Notamacropus eugenii: one gene and its partner. The protein of the gene in region 1 purifies or fractionates together with the protein of each later gene. This does not show direct contact. Links are inferred from orthologs where the notes say so. Each region holds a gene or a part of one and is shown on either strand. Other genes may lie near its edges.

What was found.
Region 2: the proteins of CDK7 (region 1) and GTF2H5 purify together in Homo sapiens (affinity purification with mass spectrometry; 7 studies listed by BioGRID and IntAct, with this or other methods). This does not show direct contact. The link is inferred for Notamacropus eugenii from reciprocal best matches to the Homo sapiens genes CDK7 and GTF2H5.

The regions. Positions count from the first base shown.
Region 1 is NC_092875.1:474,389,392-474,397,337, reverse strand, and holds the start of CDK7 (cyclin-dependent kinase 7), read left to right. Parts: upstream 1-3,955; coding exon 3,956-4,021; intron 4,022-4,029; coding exon of another isoform or gene 4,030-4,203; coding exon 4,204-4,263; intron 4,264-4,340; coding exon of another isoform or gene 4,341-4,600; intron 4,601-7,946. Other genes in the region: uncharacterized protein, read right to left, coding at 3,289-3,987, 4,030-4,252, 4,341-4,600. UniProt on the Homo sapiens protein: Serine/threonine kinase involved in cell cycle control and in RNA polymerase II-mediated RNA transcription. Cyclin-dependent kinases (CDKs) are activated by the binding to a cyclin and mediate the progression through the cell cycle.
Region 2 is NC_092873.1:251,845,960-251,853,905, reverse strand, and holds the start of GTF2H5 (general transcription factor IIH subunit 5), read right to left. Parts: upstream 5,491-7,946; 5' UTR 5,355-5,490; exon of another isoform or gene 5,303-5,354; intron 4,458-5,302; 5' UTR 4,398-4,457; coding exon 4,363-4,397; intron 1-4,362. UniProt on the Homo sapiens protein: Component of the general transcription and DNA repair factor IIH (TFIIH) core complex, which is involved in general and transcription-coupled nucleotide excision repair (NER) of damaged DNA and, when complexed to CAK, in RNA transcription by RNA polymerase II.

The DNA of each region.
Region 1 (7,946 bases):
GTGGTCGTGAAGAATCAGAAACAACTGAAAACGACTAAACAACAAATTTGTTCTTTACCTGATAACTGAGAAAACAGCTCACTACTCTCTTTTCTTTCTATGTATGTTATGCTGTGGGAAACTGACTTGCAGGGCAGGCTTCTTTCTCCTTTTCATCATCTACTATTTTTATGTAAAATATATGATCCAGGAGATAGGAAAAGGGTAAAGAATCATCTCTCTTTTACTGCTCTATACTGAATTGGGTTGGAATAAAGCTATGGACCAGCAGTAGAAACTATACTGGCAGTGTCCAATTTACAAAGCAGATCCCTTAAGTACATATGGCTGCCCTGTGTTCATTTTGAAAAAAAAAAACAAAAACAACAGAACTTTATCTTTTTAGAGAATTTGCATGTTCAGAAAGTGAAGCTGTGAAAAGTAGGAACAATTTAGGGAAACTGAACATAGGGACAGGCCCTGAGGAGGGCTCACCTGCCCATATGTGAAGTGAAATTCAATTATTTCACTGCCTGAGATTCATTTTGGTTAACAGATATCCTCTTTTCAAAATATGTGTCTCTGTGAGGGTTGAGCCATTCATATAACATGAATCAGCCAGCGTCCTTGCTTTCTAACATCTAGCAATAATAAAAGGGTAGATAATCTAGAGCCTGAAGTGCTTTGGGGATGGAGCAGGCTTGGGTACATACTGCAGCAGTACTAGTGCAGTAAGTGCCTAGGCAGAGGAGCACAAAAATTGACACGCTTAGATGCTACCTTGAGCTTTGTCTGTTGGGAATTTTTTCCAAGTGGGAAGAAACGCCCTCTTATTTCACATTCTTTCATGCTCTCATGGTATTCGAATGCCTGTTAGCCTTGTGGACCAGTGAAGCCAACCTTTGGGGTGCTGTGTGTTCAGGCAAATCACAGCCTCTCTGCTTGTTCCTTTATCTGTAAAACAGGTGTAATGGTATCTGTTGTACCTACCTCGTGAGAAGCAGCACAATGGCGTGGGGGAAACCACCACCACCTCTACCACCCTGGGTTTGGAGTTTAGGACAGTGAAACACGTCCCTGCTAGATGGATGACCGTGGGGCAAATCCAGAACTTCAGTATTCTTTATCTGTAAAAGAGAATGATCACAGTTGTACTTCTTACCTCACAAAGGTGTGAGGAAAGGGCTGTGTAAATCTTAAAGCACTGGATAAGTGTATGTTAGGGTTGTTGTAAGGACTAAGCGAGATGATGTTTGTAAGTACTTGGTAAACCATAAGGCACCATAAAAATGTAAATTGATTTTATGATTTCTGTCTAGTATTCCAGTAGATAGATCTGACCTCATTAACTTGGCTATTTTCTTTTCTAGTAATGCAAATTGTAACTCATACATGGCTGCTTACCCTATGCACCTTTTGTCTATATCTCCTCATAAATCTAGGGTAGAGGATTCACCCAACATTCTGGGGACCTTCCTCTAGATCTCTTGATATTGCAGGGGTACAGAGGGAACACTCAGATTGTCCGTCAGTTATCCACCAACTTATGTGATTAGCCTATCCTTTTTTTTAAATGGGCACACACTTCTTGGATGGTCTCCTTTATGCTGTTTCTCCTGAGTCATTCTTGTTTATCATGTGCCTGCTTATTACGCCCATCCTGTTGTCTCCACTGACTCCTGCCTGAACCGTAGCTTCAGTTCGTCAGAGGCTGTAGCATTTTATGAGTCAAGCCATATAACGCCACTGGAAGAATATTGGTTTTAAAAAGATGAGTCTTTTGTTTCAGGGAGAATACTGAATTTATTTAGAGCCCTGCACATTTTCCCAAAGGTAGTCTAGCTTTTCTATTCATTTCTGGATCTAGCACAGTATGTAGCACCATTGGAGTAGGGCTGTGGTACTTTTCTCAAATAGTCACACACCTTTCCTATAATCCTCTAAATATTTAATAGATTGCTTTCAGCTGGGGAGGGGGATGACCTCTAATGACTCTTCCCTCCACTTCCTCTCCCCACCATCAGAATACCTTGCTTGACAGAATTATTTTTCATAATATCATTTAGAGTTGGACAGGATCATAGAGAACACTGGTTTACAACCCCTTTTACACATGAGAAAACTGAAGCCTAGAGAAGTTAAACCTCCACCTAGTATGTGGCAAAACTCAGGTCTGAGGTTAGATTTTCTGACTCAGTGCTCTTTCAAGATCACAAAACTGCCTTAACTCCACTTTATGGAGAAAACAGGGGTTAAGTGCAGGACTGGCTTATTGCATAGCTATCATGTGACAGACAGAATCTGAGCCCAGGTCTTCTAGTTCCTAGTCTCAGACTTTCCCCACCATATCATGCAGTCTTCAAAATGCCTAGTATAAAAATTTTACTCGAAATCACAGATGTTAAGGGCACTGTACTCGTTCCTCCCTCTAGCTCTGTTGCCCTAGTGCTGCTTAGAACAGGTGAGGACCACACAATAGCTATCCAGGATTTTCCAAATTACATTTCCTCTTCAGAAATGATTGGGACACATGCAGATCAAGCATAAAACAGCCATCATAACCGTTGGCTACGTAAATATAGTGTTCTCTATGGAAGCAGCCACCTCTAAGTCTAGATCTTAGCAACATGAACTCCACTCCTTGCATTTCTTTTATCCAAAAACAACGGGGGTGGAGGGGAATGGTTCTATCAAGAGTGGGGCTCAGTAGATGGAACGTTGCACTTGGAATCAGGCCTGAGTTCAAATCCTGTCTCATACTATTGGCACGACCCTGAGCAAAAAGTTTTTCTAAGCTTCATTTTGCGGATCAAGTGGATGTCACATTACCTGTAGTGCTTCAATCGTGAATCTCAAGTGACGTGTGTGAAGTCCCTCGTGAATCTCGATGCCACATCCCTCCAGCATCCTCATTCCCAGTAATTTACTGCCTTCCCTCATCTTCGCCTTCATCTAGGGGAAAAGTCTTTAATTTTCCTCTCATCCTCTTCTCTTCACCCAGCCACCTCATTCACCCTCTTACCATCTCTCCTGACTGTTTATGGCTCTTACCCTTCTAGCGCCTTCGTTTTGCTCCCTCAGTAATTTAGCTTTCTCTTCCCTCCCTTCCCCACCCTACCCCCACCGTCCTAACATAATGGAAGGAGCTGTCAAGACACTGAAATCGTAGGGTTATGGGTTTACGAGGGTGAGGAACTGCCCAGGTGGCTCACCAGCAGAACCCCGAAGAAGCGAGGTCCCGCCGGCACAGCCCGCGCTCAGACTTAGTTTTAGGAGTCCCTCCCCGCCCCACCCCGCGCCCCCCAGACATCAGGACCCGAGAGGCCAGGGTGGGAATGCTGTCTGACACGTGGACAGCGGACGCCTGGGTCTGTTTCCTCCAGCGTAAGCTAGGGTGCGAGGAGGCTGCACGAACTCGGCTGGAGCTGTTGCTGCGGGGCGCCAGGGCCAAGCGTGGCGCCCCCCTCCGAGCCAGGCTCCACGCTGGGAAGGGTCGCCACGCGGCCCGTGGAGCCGGCGGCCAAGAAAGGCTCGAACTCTGCCAGGAGAGGCGGCTGCTCCGGCCCTCTGCCCGCGCGTCCTCTCGGCTCGCTCCAGCCCAGAACCGAGTGACAAGTGGCCGCCCCGGCGGTCTCCCGGGCCATGTCGTCGGGTCATCTTCACTTCCGGCGATGGGCGGGGCGACAAGGCCGAGTCACTAGAGAAGCCACGGCGGTTGCTAGGGCCGCGGGAGGCGGGGATTCGCTGGACACACGCCCGGAAGCAATCGCTTGGTGGCTTCCTAGCGGGGGCGGGAGTAGCTGACGCCCAATCAGAGGGTGGGATCCACCATCGCTCCGCCCATCGCGGAAGTCGAGGGCTGAATGCTTTAAGAATCTGGGGGGGAAACCGAAGGACGGAAGTGACTGTTGGGCCGGCTGAGGTCGCTTTAAACTCCCTCTCCCCCCTCCCCTTCCCGGGCTCCGCGCGAGCGTCAATGGCGTTGGACGTGAAGTCACGAGCGAAGCGCTACGAGAAGCTCGACTTCCTCGGGGAGGGACAGGTGGGTACACTCGGGGCGTCCGCCGTCCGTGGCGTGGCGGCTCGGGAGCGGGTGGCCGGGGGGCCGGGCCGCCGGCTAGGCCCCCGTGTGTGCGGCCGCGGTCCTGCCGGCCCTTCCCCGTGCCCTCCCCTCCCCCTCCGCAGTGCGTGCAGAAAGTCACCGTGTGCCCTCTTCCCTTGCAGTTCGCCACGGTGTACAAAGCCCGGGACAAGAACACCGGCCAGATCGTCGCTATTAAAAAGGCGAGTTTCGCTCTCCCTCGTCTGTCTCTTCCTCCCAACGCGAGTGAAAAGGGGGGTTGTGGGGCGGAGGGGCGAGCCTGGCGGCCCCCCGGGATCCTGCACGGGAAGCGGCCTTCCTCAGGCCTTCCGCCCTCACCTCCTGGGCTCCCGGCTTCTTCCGAGGCCCGGCCCCGGTGTCCGGGCTGCCGCCTGCCTTCCCAGCCTTTCCTTTCTGCTTCCTTTTTGGAGCGGCGTGTTTACTTTGTATCTCTTTTGTATCTCTTGGTATGCTTTGTATCATACTGTATCCTGTAAGTACGAGGTCCAGCTTCACACGTACGCGTTTGTGTACGCTCGTCTGCAAACACATTTCACAGATGCTTTTATGGGAACGCGTTTCCCTTTCTGTGTATCTTCAGCCTGTCTGGCACAAAAGTAGACCTTTACTTTCAGGCTTGTTGATTGAGATGGAGTTGTATTCTTGAGGTTCCTCTCCAACGTAAATCGTGATTGTCAGCAGAATTAGTATAGCTTGGATTCAGCTGTCCCCTCCGACACACATGACTGCCTCTGTGACCGGGGCCAGTCATTTCGTGTGTCCGTGCTTGGGGCAGCTCTCTCAAACTACAAGTTCCAGAACAGTTGTGTTGGTAAAGGGAGCCCCCTACATTGACAAAATTATAAGTCCAGTTGAAATCCGATCGTTAACCAAAACCGCTTCCTGACAGGCTGTAGGCCTAGAGTGGTGATGTTTATGTTTATTTAGGGTGTGATGTGGAAACCTGTTTGTGATAATACAATTTTTTAAAATAAGCATAAAATCTTTTTACTTATTTTGATCCCTGAGCTGCAGATACTCCCAAACACTAAGCATTGCTCATCCCAGAGACGGTGGGACTCTATTTTCTGGTTTGGGTTTTTTTCCTCCCCCAAAATACTATTTTGAGTCTCTAAGTTTTGCTTTTGCAGCTATCCTGTTTTTTCCTTTAAACAACTCACTACTTTGATCCATTGTCCGTTGTCATGGAAATATTTTCCCTTATAACATATATAATTTTCACTTTGTTCGGCTTTCATGACATTAATAAAGTCAGCTGTCATTTAACAGAAGAGAATAAGTTTGAATCATATCTTAGTGCTCTGCTGTTTTTTTTTTTTTTCAGGTACAGTGGAAGGGGCACAGAAGACCTAGGTTTGAATAGTAGTTGTGTTATTGGGTACCTGTGTGACCTTGGGAAATTATTTAACTTTTTGGGGCTCCAGTTTCCTTATCTGTAAAGATAAGGAATTGGACTTTTGATGACCTTGGGGTCCTTTCCAACTTTAAATCTTCAATTCTACTTTCTAGCTACTTCTAGCCCTTCCTTTTCTCATTAGCACTTGTGTTTGTCCTTCATTCTGGAAGAGGACTATGACATCAAGATGATGACATGACTTGCAGTTGACTTTGATTTGAGTGAGGGAGGGCTGTACAAGGTCATCAGCCTCACTTCCTTCTCCTGAGCCATCTGGGTGCAGTAACCAGATATTATTCATCAGGATGACTGGAGATGACCCAGGATGCAATGTGAGACCTTGGCCATTTTAGGCTAAGGTCTTACACAATCTTACTTTGAGTGAGATACACCCATTCAATGAATAGACTTCTTTAAGTTACTCAAGGGATGACCCCTTTAATAAAAAAAAAAAAAAAAAAAAAATGGGAGGGGAAGACCCTCAGGGTTCCTGGGTAAAAGAGAAATAATTACTATTTAGTTATTACATCCACTCTGTGCTAGGTGGGTGGGGTCTTGTCCATTCTATGAGATCCAGCGTGAATTGGGTTAAAGGCTTGATCTTTGAGCAAGAAATCTAGCCAGTAAACCCAAAGGAAAAAAGGCAGCTTTTGTCCATGGAGTTTACCTCCCCCTGAGCAGAACACCAGAGGAGAGGAGAGGAAACTACCTGAGAGAGAATGGCTGCCCAGTCGGAGGGCTGGATGCCCCTTGAGAGAGAGGTTCTAGTCCCTACCTTTTGCCTTTATGCAGGACCACACCTTTACTTGTAGCAATAAAATATCCTATAAGAATTATTTGCTTCATAGTTTAAAATTTTAAATTTTCTTCACCAATCTAAATTCCTCAGATTAAGCTGTAAAATGTCTCAGATGGAAGGAGGTAGCATGGCACAGTAGAACACTAAGAGCTAGAAAACCTGACTTCTTAGTCTTCCCTAAGCTAGCTGGAAGCTTGGGAGAAGTAACTTACTTTCTCTCTAATTTTTTGTGTCCAAAATGAGATGGAACTAGGTGGTTGCTGAGGTACATTCTGGGTTCTAAAACTCTCCCACCATCCCTTCTAGTCACCCAGGCTTGCAATCGTAATTGACCAGTCACACTTTCTCTTAAACCCAGCCCCCAAATCCAGTCAATTGCCTGGGGCTGTTAATTTCACCTCCACGAGATTCTTGCAGTTGTAGCCTTCTCTTCCCCACTCGAACTCTAGACTTTATCAACTTTCTCCTGAGTTATTAATAAAAATGGCAAGAAGTTCTCCTAATTGGTCTCCCTCATTTCAGACTTTCCCCTCTCCAACCTTCTTCCTCATAGCTCCCAAAACAATCTTAAAGCAGAGGTCTGACCCTGTTGAAGCTTTAGTCCAAGGTGGGGGACCTTCTGCCTCAAGGCCATATGTAGCACTCTAGGTCCTTGTGTTCAGCCTTTTGAATCCAAATTTCACAGAACAAATACCCTTCATAAAAGGATTGGTTCTGTAAAACCTGGACTCGGTCAAAAGGCCACTCTCTCCAAGGACCTTAAAGGCCACAAGTTCCCTATTCCTGCCTTAGTCCCTCTCTTTAACCTCTAGCACACAATTTATACTCCTCAGTTTGACATTTGAAATCTGTCTTAGTGTGGCTTCAACCACCTTTTTTGCCTTTTCTGAGCCAAACAAGGTTACTTGCAGTTCCCCAAGTTTAATATTTTGTCTCCTGTCTCAGTGCCTCTGGCTAGCCTGCACAGCTGAACTGATCTTTATCCTAAACCCTACCTCTTAGAATGTCTAGCTTCCTTCAAGGGTCAGCTCAGTTGCTACTGCCCACAAAAAACTTTTCCTTCTCAGATTATCTTTTATTTACTCTATATCCCCCAGAAGGGTATAACTTCCTTGAGAGTATAAAATATTTATGTCTATATTGGTGCCCTCTGAATAGTTCATCAGGCTGAATGATTTAAATTAATTTTGGAGTTTTGATGATCTGCAATCTTAACTGCCTACTTACATAAAAAACCAAAGAGTTCAGCTCACAGACAGGGGTGTGCTGGAGCCAGAGAACAAATTATTAAATTTTTACTGTTATCATTTACACATTGAAAATCAGTAAATATTACAAAGAGCTTGATGTAATATTTTCTTGATTGTCTAGACTTGAAAAGTGATGAATAAAATGTTAATAACATAGATTAAAATTAAAACTGTGTCATGCATACAAGCTGGTTGTGTGTGTGTGTGTGTGTGTGTGTGTGTGTTTCCCAGAGGTCAGGTTATTAAACATTTACCAGCATATCCCCAGCATAGGATCCTAAAATTGAAATGAACTTTCTTCAGGCCATCATCTGACTTTCTACCGGATGCAGAAATCACTTTTCTATAAAAGGCATCCATTGTCTATTTGAACACTTCTAGCAAAGGGAAGCTTATTTGACAGCTCTCTCCCCTTGTTAC
Region 2 (7,946 bases), on another chromosome or scaffold:
GTACTATTCACTAAACATTTCGTTTAAAACAAATGATACTTTTAATTGTATTAACCCCAAATTGTCAAGGTCACAAGTGGTGGGAACTATAAAAATATAACCAGCTATTGTTCTTATTTGAAACACTGTGCTACTTAGAAGATTTCACTTTTCAGTTCCTGAAATTGCAAATTTTGGCAAGAGGAAAGTAGAATGAAAATCCATTGCTGAAAACAAGTAAGTCTGAATAAAAGGTGCTAGTACTGAGCACAAAATACAATTCATAAAAAACAAAACTAGGTGAGTTAAGCTATGTAATTTACGAAGCACACTCAACAAAAGGGGACTTGGAATATTGATTGAGACATGTATTTCTAATACTCCAAGTGGAAATAATGCTTAAGTCAAGGGAACAGGTTTAACAACGTAGTTGCTAGACAGTTTTGTAGGGAGGAACATAAGTAGCGAGGACATATTTCAAGTTTATCTAATATTATTCCATTTATTTGCCTTCACCCAATTAGAGAAAAATCTGAGTCAAAAACTCTTCCTGCCTTTGCTTTAAAAGAAGGGATATAAAGAAAAAAAGGGGGCACATGATGGGTAATGGGGAGATGGTAGGAAACAGTAAGAATCCAAATGAGATTCTCAGCTAGGGACAGTTACAGAAGAAAAGTCTATGTTTAGGGCTTTGAAACTTAGTTGTTCTTTTATTTGTCTCTTCCTATCAATTCCTATCTCTCAAAAGATGTTGAAAAGCCTCAGTTTTATTCTCCTGGGGTTTTAACCTTGGTGCACATTCTTCCACTCTTATAATTTTTCTCAGTTCTCAAAATAGTTTTCGAAATTTTTTTTAAAAAGGCACTTAGAACTTACAAAGCCTCAGGTGAACTTGGCAACACAGCATGAGATACTATGTCAGCATCTTGAGGGATTGGTAAAGTGTAGTTCTAAATCTATGATAAAAAAAACTAGGCATAGGGTTGAGGACAAACTGAGAATACAAAAAAAATATCAAAATGCAAACTAGTATAACATGTTGGTAGCTCTGGTAACATTACATATATACATTGTATTCTTTTTAACTATTAAAATGTATTTTCACAGATATTATTTTTTAGCCTCAATAATAACAGATTCACCAAAGTACATTAGTGCTTGGAATTAATTGGGCATGTGGGCTCTTATCGATACATTTTCTCATCTGAGCAAATTCAACTCAATAAACTTTTATCATGTGCCCAGTGTGGCACTGCAATAATACTGGGCGATACACAAATGGAAAAAAAAAAAACACTCCCTGTTCTCAAATGTGTACATGGAGAAGACATACACAATGCGACACTATGTCAGAACAGAAATATTTAGAAGTATATAGGATATATACATATATATAGGAGATACACACACACACACACACACACACACACACACACATATGATAGTTAAAAGAGTACGAGAAATTTGTGGTGAAGGAATCGTCTAGCATTAGGGAAGAAAAAACCAAGGAATGCAGCCTGGAGGTGGCACCTGATCTTTGTTTTGAAAAGGATTTTAATCTGTGGAGCTAAAGTTCATTCCAGGTTTCAAAAGTGAGTATTCAACAGAGGTTGAACAGAGTAAGCAAAGCCCAAGAAACAAGGACTCCAATATGGGCAGAATGTAAAATTTATGAAGAGATATAGTGTGCAAAAAAAAGACTAGAAAGCCAGGATAAAATCTAGTTATGGAGATGCCAAGTAAAGGTATTTGCATTTTATTCCACAGGTAAGATGTAATCAGTGAAGATTTTTTGAGCAAAGGAGTGACAAGATCTGATCTATGCATTAGGAAGATTGATTTCCCAGTAGGATGAAGGATGGAATGGAGGGGAGAAACTGGAGACAGGGAGACCAGTTGGAAGGGGCCACAATATTCCAGGTGAGAATAGGAGTTGGTAGAAAAGAAAAAGGGATGGATGTGAAATGTTGTAGAAATAGAATTAATAGGACTTGGCAACTGACTAGATAATGGGGAATGACAGAATGAAAACACAGATGACTCCGAAGTTAAGGGCTTAAATGACTGATAGGAGGATAAACAGAAAAAGGAAACTTAGGAAAGGAAAGAGGACTAAAATGAGGTCAGTTGAGGCATGCTGTTGAGTTGAGCACAGCACACCAGTGGATACGTACAGAGAGCAGTTTGAAATGCAGGGTTGCAGCTGGAAACAACTGAAAGTCATCTGGGATAGTAACTGAAGTCACAGAAATAAGTACCAACAGGAATAGAATACAAGGTTAGAAGAGGAGAAATGACATAACATTAGGAGAAATTCATATTGCCAGGTGAGAAGAACACCCAGGGAAAGAGACAAAAGGAAAACCCAAAAAGGTAGGAGAAAAAGCAGGACAAAACAGTATCAAAGGAGTCAAGAGGGATAATAATATCAAGAAGGATGGGGGTGATGAGCCTTGTCAAATGCTGTAGAAAGGTCAAGGATGAGGATTAAGAAACAACTATTGGATTTATCAACTGGGAACTTACTGGTGGCTCTGGGGAGAACAGTTTCAGTAGAGTGGTGAGGATTAAAGTTTTTGTTGAATGATGGGAACTAGACTGTAGTGGGTGCTGATGAGGATGTGTACACAGGAAGTATAAGCCTTTTTTCCGAGATGATCATCTAGAGCAACTACACCAAAAAAGCTAAAACTAGAAAGTGTGTAGGCACAGAGAAGCTCCTTTCATAATTTTCTCAATGTATTGCTGATCTCTCAACCTTTAAGAAAATATTGGGATCCTTTAACTGTCCAGCATTTTCTATTTCTCACCTCAGAAAGTTACTTGAATACTTTGAATTGAATAGTGTTCTTTGCTTCTGAGAAATAAGTTGAGTAAAGTATTTGCATAATCAAGATATCTGCATTAATATGTTACGTCTGTGCCACTTGTATCTTTTTTTTTTTTTTAAAGCTTCCATTCAAGGGCAAACAGTACAACTGAAAGACCACTAATCAAGAAGATGTGGGTTCAAATCCTACTTCTAATATTTACTAGCTGTGTACCCTTGGGCAAGTTAATTTCCTCTTTTGTAAAATGGGGTAGTAGCTGAAATGCCTGCCCTAACAGGCTGTTGTAAGAAGAGAACTTTTTAAAACTTAAAACTCTATTTAAGTTCATTTGATGAATTTTAAGGTATGATGAGCTTTTGTTTAGAACTTTTATCATATCTTCCAGAAGGTAGGCTAGCATATTCAATAGCATTTAAAACATCTACTGCCATTTAGGGATAACTAGATGCCACAGTGGATAGAGTGATGGGCCTGAAGTTGGGAAGACTCATCTTCTTGAGTTCAAATTCTGCCTCGGACACTTAGTAGCTGTGTGACCCTGAGCAAATCACTTAACTCAGTTTCCTCATCTGTAAAATGAGCTAGAGGAGGAAAATGACAAACCACTCCAGTATCTTTGCCAAGAAAATCCCAAATGGGAAGTAAGAGAAAGAAAACTGAAACAACTACTACTCCCATTTACAGAGAAGAGAATGAATAGCTATAGTGGTAGTGTTCTAGGGTAGTGACACCACTAGAAACATTCTAGTGCCAAACAATTAATCTCCACTGCTGTTTAAAAAACAAAGCCTGTATTTATCCTCAACCCATGAAACAATCACTAGTCTTTAAAAAGAGACCTAAAGAATATACAGGGAAGTGTCTATGCTCTTCAGAGAAAGGCACAATCCAAATTCAAGACTCTCAACATCCTGTAAAATGCATCAAGTTGATTAGAGAACATCCCCACATGTAATGTGAATTATGACTTACTGAATATATAATCAGGTCAATTACCCACGCATCAACATAAACTTGCAAGACACTCCAAAAAGAGGTATAAATAGCCCAAGTTAAAAAAAGACATCCAATTGTATCTTTTATTTCTCTATGTAAACTAACATCAGTCAATCATGAGGCTACTCTATTTTGCTTTGAACTACTTAATGTACACCAGTGTCCCCACAGTGCCTTGAACTTGGTGGTTGCTGTTAAGTGGAGAGAACTATAGAGCACAGTTCCTCAAAGAGTCAGAAGTTAGCAGAGGAGAAGGAAAAGTGTCAACTGGTAGTCCTACATCCTCTAAGAATGTGTGATTCTAAGTACCAAACCAGAGGGTAGAACATCTAAGTTCAATGGTGGTTCAAAGGAAAAGGAAAACCAAAAAGGCCTGGAATAATCAGGAAAAGCTTCACTGGGACTTAGAATCATAAAATCTCAAGGAGCAGGAGGTGGCCTTAGATTATCACTGAGTCAGATCATCTAATTTTATAAATGAGGAAACTAATGGGCTTCGTAGGAACAAAAAAAAGTAAGTGAGAAAATCAACACTCATAAGTGAAAAAGTACTAACCATTCTATAAGTACGCCTTTCAAGACATTCACCATTTTCTCCAAGTTACAAGTGTCAAATGCTGTCAATGATGTCAACAAAAGGGACGAAGTGAACTAAAATTTAAAAAAAAAATCAATCAATAATCAATTTTAACATTTCACTAAAAGAAACATAAGGATAATGAAAATGATGATATTACTACATAAACCCACAAAAGTCATTTTCAACACTTCTGATTCAAAGACGATAAAGCATATTTACAAAGAAAATATAGCTCAGTTGTCATCATTGACTTTCCCTTAAAATTTAACCTATCATCAAGTGTAATTTTGTTCACCAAATTGCACACATTAAATATATGGAATACAACAAAATTCTAAATACTCATTCTAGTAAAGGCTGGGACATAGTGAATAGGAAAAAAAATTAACTATTAGGGATAGTTGGGTATTCTAGCTTTTTAAAAAAAAATAATCCAGGACCACATCCAACCCAGTATTTGCTGGCACTTGGACGCCTACAGAAACCCGGGGATGAGGACCTGGATGTGTTTTAGGGTCCGAGCTTGGGACCGGTAATAGATAGACAGTCCAGGCCGAGATGCAATCAATCTAAGTCACAATAAAAGGGGATGGGGGAAGGGTTCACGGCAGCCTGAGAAGGCTGCTTGAAGTGAGACAACAAATGAAAAGCGTTGTTACGTAAAGGGCTTGACAAACCTTAAAGAGCTACGTAAAAATCGGCTCTTAGTAAATTACTATTATTATTCACATTCCCGGGTCCTGCTCTGGGCACCCAACACGCCGAGGACTCCAGATCCTCCGCGGGCTGGGGGAGGGGGGGCAAGGCCGTGCCTTCGCTCCGCAGCCCCTGAGGAAGGCAGCACGGCAGGGAGAGGAAGGGGTGGCTAACCCTGGGCCTAGCTATCCCTCGGCCACTCCAGGCGTACTCCTCTCACCTTCGAGTCCGGAAGCTACACCACCTACCAATCCCTAACAACAGCGACGCACCTCCGACCAGCCAGGTCCCAGCTGCAGCTCGCCGGAATTATCAGCGGAGTGCGCCTGCGCTGTAGGTTTCTGCGTCGGGTCGGTGAGGTTACGCAGAGGGGGCGGGGCTACACCCGTGGGAGGAACGGAGGGCGGGGTCACGTGCCCGCGCCAGTGGCAGAGGCTCTTGGGCGCCGGGGCCCGGGAGCGGATCGGGGTGGGTCTTTTCCCTTATCCTCCTCCTTTCCTTCCCCCCCCCCACCAGATCCAGTTCGGCTGTGGGCGGGAACGATCCGCCCGCAGCAGCCAGGTAGGTGGGAAGGAAGCGGGGGAGGGACGAGGAGTGCGTCAGTTGTGACTCCTCCGGGGGCTGGGGAGGCTCGGAGCCGGATACGTTGGGGCGGGATGGAGCGGAGCCACGGGAGCACCCCCGTTTGAGAAGCTGCGCGGGCCACCCTACTGCTTCTCTGAGGCTGACCCTGGCCTTGCCCGGCTGTGCCCGGCGCTGTCCTGCCTTGCCCTTAACCGACTGACTGCTTAGGCGGGGGGCGTGGCGTGCTCAGCTGGGCCCTGGCTCGTGAGTGCGCGTGCGCCTCTTCCTGCTTCCCTTTGCTTCCTTTGGAGGTGGGTGGTGGGTGCCTTCCCCTCTGCGTCTTCCGTCTGTACAGCTCCCTCTTACAGCCAGGCTTCTGGAAGACAGCTGTCTGCCCTGGCTGCACCAATGTTCTCGCCTCCCTCTCACTTCTTATTGCTGTGCAATTTGATGTCCTCCCTCACACTTTACTGCGATCCACCCTCTCTCTGTCTTATCTCTCTTTTCCTGTCCCTTGTCTGTCTCTCCCCCTTCTCTGTTTCCTGTCTTTCATCTCTCCTGTCTCTGTTCTCTCTCTCCTTTCTCTTCACCTTCCTGGGCTCTCTGTCTTTTGGCTGTCTGTTTATGATTGTCTTGTCTATCTCTCCCCTTCCACTCGCGTCCAGTCTGTCTCTGTTTTTTTCCCTTTCTTGCCTGTCTCTCCCTCCTCTGTCTCTCTCTGTCTCTTTCTCTATTTTCTCCATGTCTCTTTCTGTCTCCTCTTCCTCCGTTCCTCTGTCTTTCCCTCCCCTCTCTCGCTTGTCTGTCTCTTCTCTCTTTCTTTTCTTCCCCTTTCTTTTTCTATCTCCCTCCTTCTCTCTGTCTCTTTCTCAGTCTCTCTTTTTTCCCAGGTCATGAGTTATCTCTAATGCAAATATTTAAGCTGTGGTGACCCAAGGCAAGTCACTTAACCTGTCAGTCATTCACTAAACCGTCCCTACCGTGTGCCAGGCACTGTGCTAAAGGTTGGGGATGCACAGACAAATTTGAAACAGTCCCAGCCCTCAAAGAATGTATGTTTTAATGGAGGAGACATGTCCATATATAAGCATATACATATATGTTTGTATATATATATACACAAAATGAATAGAAGGGAAGGAAGTTTCTACCAGCTGGAAGGATCAGGAAAAGGCTTCATGGTTAAGGTAACATTTGAGTTGAGGTGAGGAGGGAGTTCATACGAGGTACAGAGGACAACTCACCTTTTTATTCGAAGCCACAAAGAAGGGAAATGAAGATGAAAGGTGGAACACCTTGTGTGCAGAACAGCAGGTAGGCCAGTATGTCTGGATAAGAGTGCAAGCAGGGGATTAACACATAAAAGATTGGAAGGACAGAAGGTTGTGAAGAGATATGAATGCCAGAGGAATTGATATTTGATCCTGGAGATAATAGGGAACTGCTGGAACTTATTGAGTAAGGGAATGTGGGGTGACATTGTCATACCTGTCCTTTAGAAAATTATTTTGATGGGTGTGTGGAGGAGAGATTGAATTAGGGAAAGATTTGAAGTAAGGATAACAAATTAGGTAAGAGGTGATAGGGAACTTGAATGGAGGGGTGGGAGTGGGGATGGAGGTGTGAAGGGAGAGAAGGAAGGATGTATAGGAGCCTTGCGGAGACAGAGGTGATAAGTTTTGGCTACTGATTTGGAGAGATGGGATAATTGAAAGTGAGTTGAAGATGACACTGTGGTCTTGAACCTAGGTGACTAGATGACTGGTTGTACCCTTAACAATAATAGGGCAGTTTGTAAGAGAGGTGGATTGAGAGAAAAAGAGAGAAAGAATGAATTTTGTTTTGGGTATGTTGAATTTGAGATGCCTATGGGCATTCAGTTTGAAATGTCTAGTGTGGTTGAATGGCACCTGCATAGAGATGGTAATGGAGCCCATGGGAGCTGATTAGGTCTTCCAGTGAAGGAGTGTGGAGAGAAAAGAAAAGCAGGTTCTGCACTGAGCCTAATAAATCAGAAAAGAAAGCTAAGAGGGGTCATTAAAAACTGAAATGATCCAAAACTTCTAAGGGTTGAAAAATCATTTGTTGGCCTAGATGAGTTATTGACTATTTAAAAAAAACAACCCTGAGAAACAGCTTTCAGCATTCATCTTTTTCCCATGAAGTGTGATTTTATTTGCCAGTAGTCTTTAGGGTCATTGGACAGCATTTATTGATTATAACTAAGGGCAGAGTACTGAACTAAGTGGTGTGGAGGGCTGGAGATGAAAACAACAGTGCAGTTAATATAATGCATGCCT